Yarrowia lipolytica: one gene and its partner. The protein of the gene in region 1 interacts with the protein of each later gene in a biochemical or structural test. Links are inferred from orthologs where the notes say so. Each region holds a gene or a part of one and is shown on either strand. Other genes may lie near its edges.

Region 1 (4,369 bases):
ATTTGCCAGCGTGCCAGCGACCGCGAGGAACGGAGCAGATAGTCACGTGCCCGAGGTCGCTGGGTAGAGGTCGCTGGGCGGAGGTCGCTGGGCAGCTGTGTTATTATGCTTACTGATGGAGCTCCAGCACTGCTATTCACATGTTCGGCACCTGTTCGGGTCTGCTCGGTTGTTCTGGTTAAAAGACACAAAGAAACATTGGTAATATCGAGCATTAAAAATCGGTTAGACTGTTGACAGAGGTCGGTACGAGAGATGAGACGTGCCACACAGTCTGGCCTTGTGTGCCGAATAGTCTCCGACGACGTTAATCTCGCTTGTGCCAGTTAGTCCGTGGTCAAGACGAACAAGGCATCTTGTCAGTGGTCGGCGTTTTCACGGACCCTGCCATTGTGGCAGGAATGTCTGGTGGAATCCCTTGCATTACGAGTACATAGGGCGACGATACAAGTATGTCCATCTCGAGGAGTAACTGCCAGTGATTGGAGCGGTTCCTACAAGTCTACATACTGCTCGTGCAATTCGGACTGCGATTCGGACCTGCAATCCGGACTTCAATTCGGACTTGTGCTTGTCAGGCTTGGGGAGCTGTCAGCCGAGACTTTCTGCCCTGGAGCGTCAAAGATCCATAAGGGGTCTTGTACGAGTCTTGTACGAGTACATACTGTACTGTACATGCATTGATATTCACTGGACGATCTACAAGTAGATGTGTCTCGAGCATGGAACGAGGACAGTATGGTTGTATTAGTATGTACATACTCGTTCTCAGTGCCTTACATCCACCGATATTTGGTACTGGCAAGAGAGACTCGTAGATCCACATCAAATGGAATGATTCTGGAGACATGGTTGGCCAAATCATTAACTGGTCGCCAGTCACGTTTTCGAAACTGCCTACTTGTACAAAGACTCGTCATAATTTGTCAGCTACTCCACTCAGATATACCCACCCGTTTCTGAAGATGCAATATCGTCTCCAATTTCGGAACCCTATTTTCGAGACTAATAAAAATAGCCGAGGTTAACGTGGGGAACATGTACATGCACCGAACGACAGATATGGTCCGAGCACAGCATCACGTGAGCCTGTTGCATCACGTGACCCGTTCATATTACCTACAACCATCGTATCACCACCGTATCACCACCGTATCACCACCGTATCACCACCGTATCACCTACCGCCACGCCTTGCACCAACATACATAGCTCGGGATTATGATGCATACCGTTCTCACGTGTCAATCGGGCCAGTTAAAGCCTCCCCCACATTTGGAGAGAGCGAGCTGCGGTAGCTGTAGCTATGAGTAATGCTGCGAGCAGAGGTGAGGTCGAGGACATGTGTCTGAATGGAATAACGACTTCTAGTTATACTCGTACTGTACTCGAACTTGCGTCAACCGCATTGTAGCGGTTCTGGACGGCGCAGAAAACACATAAGCCACCGAAATTACGTCATAGCGTGTGTAAACTTGTGGGGGGAATCGAGATGGCTATAAGATGGGTGTTGGAGAGGGCTGGGGCGAAATAGGAAGCTGCGAATCAACTCTCGACAGTTCCAAGACCCGCCGGAGCGCCCCCCCCACAGCTCCCCTACGCCCGCCTCCAGTTGCCCCCAAACAGCTGCTCCTCTTCCCCACCGGTCCCCAATGTACCGGACCCAAATGTACCCGCCAAACCCAACTCCCTCACCCCCCAAAAGCTAAAATCCAAAACCACCTTGTCCCAAGAAGAACTACGTCATCACGCAACCCATAGTACAACTGTACGTGCCTATCTCAGCACACTCATTAATACGCCAAAAAAAAGCGGACGCGACAGGACGCGAACTCAAGGCGCGCACGGACTCCCTCGACATCCCCAACACAAATCGAACCCAAAGAATCCAAGATAAAGCCGCCGTACACACACACACACACACACACACACGTCACACCATGTCCAAAGCAGACTCCACCTCTCCTACGGCCCGAAAAACGTCAGTGTCTTCGCAGGACTCGGTTGGCACTCGCAAAACGACCTTTGACCTTGAACCCAATCCGTTCGAGCAGTCGTTTGCGGCGCCCGACGATGACAAGAAACGCCATGGAGCTCCTCGACTCTCGCACTCCCGAAATGCGTCTATGGACAACAACCCCCACAAGTCGCCTAAACTGACTCCTCTGGCTAGAGTATTCACCCCGGGAGGCAACCGGATCCTGCCTCCGCTCTCCGAGATTGCCCAGAGCGGATCTGGCACCAACACCCCTTCTGCGGGCATTTCTGGATTCGAAACAGGCCCTCTGTCGCCAGCAATTTTCCTGCAAAAACCACAAAATGGAGGCACCCCAGCAGGATTCCCCGGATGGAATGCTGGCACACCCGGAGCACAATCTCCAGGTGCGTTCTCATCACTCGTGTCGTCCCTCAGACATAGAAGCTTTGCCGAGAGCGGCATTCGGTCAGGTCTGACCCCTGGAGGCCAACTGACTCCTATTTCGGCTGCCGCAGCAGTTGCAGCCCAACAGGACGGCAAAACTACCCCAGGGGGCCTCTCTGCGCTCTTCAATCTCGATACCCCTGAAGAGCAGAAAGCCAAACCTGTTCCTGCTCAGACCGCCCCGGCTCAGACAGTCCCTTCACAACAACCCCCTCAGGGAGCACAGGCTGCCCAACCTCCTCAACCATCGCAAGGAGTCCAGGCTGCTGCTGCTGCTGCCTCCACTGCTCCAGCTGCCAAGGGCAAAAAGGGAGGAAAGAAACGAGAGAAAAAGGACAAGGCTTCCCCTGACGAGCCAAAGGAACCTTTGCCACCCGCTAAGAAGCGAAAGAAGACAAAGACAGAAATCAAACAGGAGGAAGAGGAGGCCGCTGCTATGGCAGCCTCCGAAACTGGGCCCGACGGAGAGCCCATGGACGAGGAGGAAAAACGAAAATGTTTCCTGGAGCGAAACCGGGTGGCTGCTCTCAAGTGCCGACAGCGAAAGAAGCAGTGGCTGGCAAACCTGGAGGCAAAGGTGGAGTTCTATGCCAGTGAAAACGACAACTTGAACCAGCAGATTGCACGACTCAGAGACCAGGTCAAGGGCCTGAAGAGCATCGTTTTGGACTTTAAGAATGGCAATGGAGCCAAAATTCCGGCTGCAACGCTCGATGAGGTGCTGAACACAAACATTGTCATTAATAATGTTCCTGCTCCTGTACCCATTCCCCAAGTCCCTACAATTCCTCAACCTGGGGTTCAGCAGGTCCAACAGATGCCTCCCCAACAACAGGTCCCGCAGCAGCAAGTCCCCCAACAACAGATGGCTCAGCAGCAAATGGCTCAACAGCAGATGGCCCAGCAGCAGATGTCTCAGCAACAGGTTCCTCCTCAACAGCAAGTTCCCCAGCAGCAGCAGCAGCAGCAAATGCCACCTCAGCAGGTGCCTCAGCAAATGTCTCAGCAAGTGCCTCAGCAGGTTCCCCAGCAACAACAAATGCCTCTGGATGGTATGCAGAACGTCCCGCAGAACGCCCACGCCAACCACCATCAGCCAATGATGATGGGCCAACCTATAGAACATGGTCCCGTTGGCGGTGCGCAGGATGGAACACAGATGATGGGCATCGCTATGCAGGCTGGAGGAATGATGCCGCCTCCTAACCCGGAGGAGGGAGATAGACAGCAGGGTATCCCCCAACCGTTGTATATGTAACCAACGTCCAACTAGCAAGCGGAAACTGCAACCACCATTGCAGTGAGTGGACACACAGTTTGCCAGTAACTCTTCTGTTACCTATACCACTATCCCTCCCACAATCCCTAGACTTGAGTCTGGTTATTTATACACAGTAATTTATTGATTGAAAGAGCAGTGAGATGTAGGCTACGCGACAGTATTCAGACAAGCGTCTACAGGGTGCTTTACCCACCTCACCAACTACTTCTACATACAATACCCCGATCTCTTGATAAACCCAACCATGTAATTAAATATGTACAGTACTTGCACTTGTAATTTTATGCATTTGAGAGTTGTTCGACGCGAGTGGCTCACACTCAACACTCACCCAATTCTCTCATCAATCGTCCCCTTCTTAGCCGTCTTCGGCTCACTACCTTCACTACTGGCGGTCTGGGGCATCTCCAGCTCCGCCTGCTCCAACCTGGAATAGAAACCTGCTGCTCCAGCAACATGCTCCCTAATGCCATCAAGAAACTCCTGGAGCAGCTCCAGATGCTCTCCTGGCTCCACAGGCTTGTGTCCTTCCTTCTCCTTACCGGTCTCAATCTCATACACCTTCTTGGACATGTCTGTACCCTGGGTCATCTCCACATCGTTCACCAGCTGTCCAACTCGAGCACATAGCTTGTCAATGTTTTCGGAAAACTGGTACTGGTCAA
Region 2 (3,853 bases), on another chromosome or scaffold:
ACAGAAGTGGCTGGGGAATGATGGTCTTGTCTGTCGGACTTGTTTCTGTCATATCAGCAATCCCTACGTTCCTCTTCTCGGGAGGATACCTCTTCTCCAAGGCTAACAAGGGCAAGACGCTCTTCCAGCGAGTTTTCCGGTCGCCCAACGCGTGGGAAAAGGAGGAGAAGGCAGCTCGAGAGGAGGAGCGAAGACGGTTGCGAATGGAAAGGTCTAAGGAGGAAACTGGAGACGGAGGGATAGAGAAGAGTCTGGGTGTGAAGGAGATGGATATGGGAATTGATGACACGACATAGCATACATAATTATTTATACATTGCATGATTAATGATACAGGGGGTGGTGGTTGTGTAGAGCGTACTACTTGTAGTTGTAGTACAGTACAGTAAGTTGTCCATGGTATTTCCTATAGCAAAAAGTTGTGCAAGGACAAAAAAATGACGACATCCGCAGGATTCGAACCTACGCGGGGAAACCCCAAGAGATTTCTAATCTCTCGCCTTAACCGCTCGGCCAGGATGCCTGAATTTTAAAAAATAAAAAGCTCCCGTTACACCACAGGCAACAATTACATCACGTGACCCCCAAGAAAAACCGAGATTAACGGCTTATTGAGAAGTTAAATGATAGGATTTAATAGCAATAAGACAGTAACCTTGTTGTTTAAACAGGGGTTATTTTAAGCAACAGAGTCAACCAAATTGTTCTCATTCGCAGGTATACAGAATCCTGTGATGTTGAATTTGCAGTGTGGGGTTGGTTCATAACAAAACGAGAAAACAATAGAAGCAATAAATGAGATGCAGAGAGTCTATGGAAATGGGTTGATGGCTGACTGGTGAGCGGGTGGAATGTGATTGGTTACTAATATGTGAACTGCTTCTTCTGTCGTACTCCCGTTCTCTCCGACGTCTGAATTCAGATACGACGCCTTCTGACAGCAAATTAGATCCAAACATTGGGTCTATGATGCTGCAAGTCAAGGTGCCAGGTACATGTGATACTCAGATAAGAATATCGCAGTGGGTTTGTTCATATCTGTTGTGGTTTGCGAGTTATACGACGATATCTTTTCAGATGCTATTGTACAATACGAGTGCTCGTACTTGTACGATAGCGACACCATTTCTACGAATGATTCTCGTGTAGTGCTTGTCATTCTCTTTGTGTGGTGGAAAAGAGAACTCTGCGGTCTGCTGTTTGTTGGACTCTAAAAAGCCACCTGTGATTGATGGATGGGTGTGTACGTGTGTGAGGGGAACTACTTGTATGCCGTCTATAGCCGTGTGTGATGGATACTGTGCAGATGGGGGTGTATTTTGCTTGTATTTGTACATAATCGAGTACTTGTACAAGTACTGAGATATTCATTTACAGTATGATCATTCTTCAAGTCAACTGTATCATGTTCCCAAGTTGACAACATAAGCACACCCAATCAACGACAATGCGGCGATAATGAGACATTAAGTGGGGGGATATGAGGAGCGTAAAACGGAGTGATAACGAGCGGGACGGGCTGTGTGTGTAACCATGCTGGCACTCCCGGCTCTCAATTTCAATTCCCCAAGTTCGCCACCTTATATAAGCTGTTCTCTGGTGACCTAGCGTGTGTGCTTGGTTGCTGTGCTGTTCGTTCTTTTTTTGACGTCATGACACGGCACGATTCAACAAAAGAGCCGTGAACGCACAAGGGACGTCGAAAGAAAACAGAAATATGTAACCGGGGCCGAATACCGTGTACCAAAGTCGATAAATGCCCTCACAAGGATCGTAGCCACATTCAGAAGCCCCCCCCCAACCATCTCCGCCAGCCGCGTACCCTGCAGGTTGAAAATTCAAAATTGGTTTGGTGCAGCAAGCACAAGTTAGGTTGGCGATACTCTCGAGACACCACACACACCACACAACTCGCAGCACTACATCACCAAGTGTAGCTCGGACCCCTGTGACTCTCTCTACCGTCTCCCAGGAACAGCGCGTAACATGGCGGACTTTATCCGGACCCAGATCTTCGGCACGTGTTTCGAAATCACGTCGCGATACGTGGATCTCAACCCCGTGGGGATGGGAGCCTTTGGTCTCGTGTGTTCGGCCAAGGACCAGCTCACGGACCAGAACGTGGCCATCAAGAAAATCATGAAGCCGTTCGGCACTCCCGTGCTGTCGAAACGGACGTACCGAGAGCTCAAGCTGCTCAAGCACCTGCGCCACGAAAACCTCATTTGCCTGAGCGACATTTTCATCTCGCCGCTGGAAGACATTTACTTTGTCACCGAGCTGCTGGGCACAGACCTGCACCGTCTGCTCATGACCCGGCCTCTGGAGAAGCAGTTCATTCAGTACTTTCTTTACCAGATTCTGCGAGGCCTGAAGTACGTGCACTCTGCCGGTGTGGTCCATCGAGACCTCAAGCCGTCCAACATCCTCGTCAACGAGAACTGCGACCTGAAAATCTGCGACTTTGGCCTTGCCCGAATCCAGGACACCCAGATGACCGGCTACGTGTCGACCCGGTACTACCGAGCGCCTGAAATCATGCTCACGTGGCAGAAGTACGATGTGGAGGTGGATATTTGGTCCACGGGCTGCATCTTCGCCGAGATGCTGGAGGGCAAGCCCCTGTTCCCCGGCAAGGACCACGTGCACCAGTTCTCCATCATCACCGAGCTGCTGGGCTCGCCCCCAGAAGATGTGATTCACACCATCTGCTCGGAAAACACTTTGAGGTTCGTCAGAACTCTGCCCCGGCGAGAACGAATCCCTCTGGCGTCCAAGTTCCGAAACGCCGACCCCGAGGCCATCGATCTCATGGAGAAAATGCTGGTTTTCGACCCCAAAAAGCGAATAACCGCGGCCGAGGCTCTGGCCCACCCTTACTTGGCACCATACCACGACCCCAGCGACGAGCCTGTAGCCGAGGAACGGTTCGACTGGTCGTTCAATGACGCAGACTTGCCGGTGGACACATGGAAGGTGATGATGTACTCGGAGATTCTCGACTTCCACAATGTGGACATTGACGTCAACGGCCAGCCTCCACAGGGCCAGTTTGAGCAGGTCCATGCCCAGGCACAAGCGGCCGTCGCACAGAACGAGGCTGCCAGGGCTAGGGAACAGGAGCAGCAGCAGCAGGAGCAGCAGTAAACACCCAAACAATGTGGGTCAAAGACGGACAAGGCAATCAGTAATAGGAGGACAGCATGGCTGACGTGATATAAGTGATGTAATTAAGTGTAGGATTATGGAGCAGCGATGTGATGACACGCCATCTTATCGTGAACTAGTTAGGAACATAGCTCGAATTGAACAGATGAGACACTGACGGAGAGAGGGACGATCGTATTGGGGAAGAGGAGTACCAGTTCGTACTGTACTTGTGGTACGTAAAGCCATTTGTGAGATCGCAACTATGGAGTTGCACTGCAGTGGAGCTACAGTATGTACTGCATCTTGACAATCCACTCACAAACAATGTACAATGTTCTGTATCTATATGACACCCACACTACAGGAGGCAGCTTTGGAGGTGGCATGAGAACGCAACATCCCCGAACAAGGCACCCCACCAAGTGGCTGTGAACTTGGAAAGTCGCCATGATATCATTTGATCAAATATCACTGACCAGCAGTTCAGTCCAAAGAACGCATTAATACTTACCATCACCATCTGTTGCAGTTGTTCATCAGAGATGGCAACAGCTGTATGATCCCAGCTTGTAACCCACAGTACGACGACTTCGCGAGAGTTCGACGAATCGAAGAATTGGTACTGTATGTTTTACCGTGGCAACTGCTTTATACCGCACACTGGCTAACTACTGTACTTATACTTGCAGTCCCACATTACACA

What was found.
Region 2: of the proteins of YALI1_C24081g (region 1) and YALI1_E30073g, one has a biochemical effect on the other in vitro, tested with the Schizosaccharomyces pombe proteins (5 studies listed by BioGRID). The link is inferred for Yarrowia lipolytica from reciprocal best matches to the Schizosaccharomyces pombe genes atf1 and sty1.

Annotation. Positions count from the first base shown.
Region 1 is NC_090772.1:2,405,730-2,410,098, reverse strand, and holds YALI1_C24081g (uncharacterized protein), read left to right. Parts: upstream 1-1,940; coding exon 1,941-3,680; downstream 3,681-4,369. Other genes in the region: YALI1_C24016g (uncharacterized protein), read right to left, coding at 4,032-4,369.
Region 2 is NC_090774.1:3,005,412-3,009,264, reverse strand, and holds YALI1_E30073g (uncharacterized protein), read left to right. Parts: upstream 1-1,986; coding exon 1,987-3,147; downstream 3,148-3,853. Other genes in the region: YALI1_E30109g (uncharacterized protein), read left to right, coding at 1-296; YALI1_E30074g (uncharacterized protein), read right to left, coding at 1,390-1,638, 1,692-1,805. UniProt on the Schizosaccharomyces pombe protein: Proline-directed serine/threonine-protein kinase involved in a signal transduction pathway that is activated by changes in the osmolarity of the extracellular environment. Controls osmotic regulation of transcription of target genes.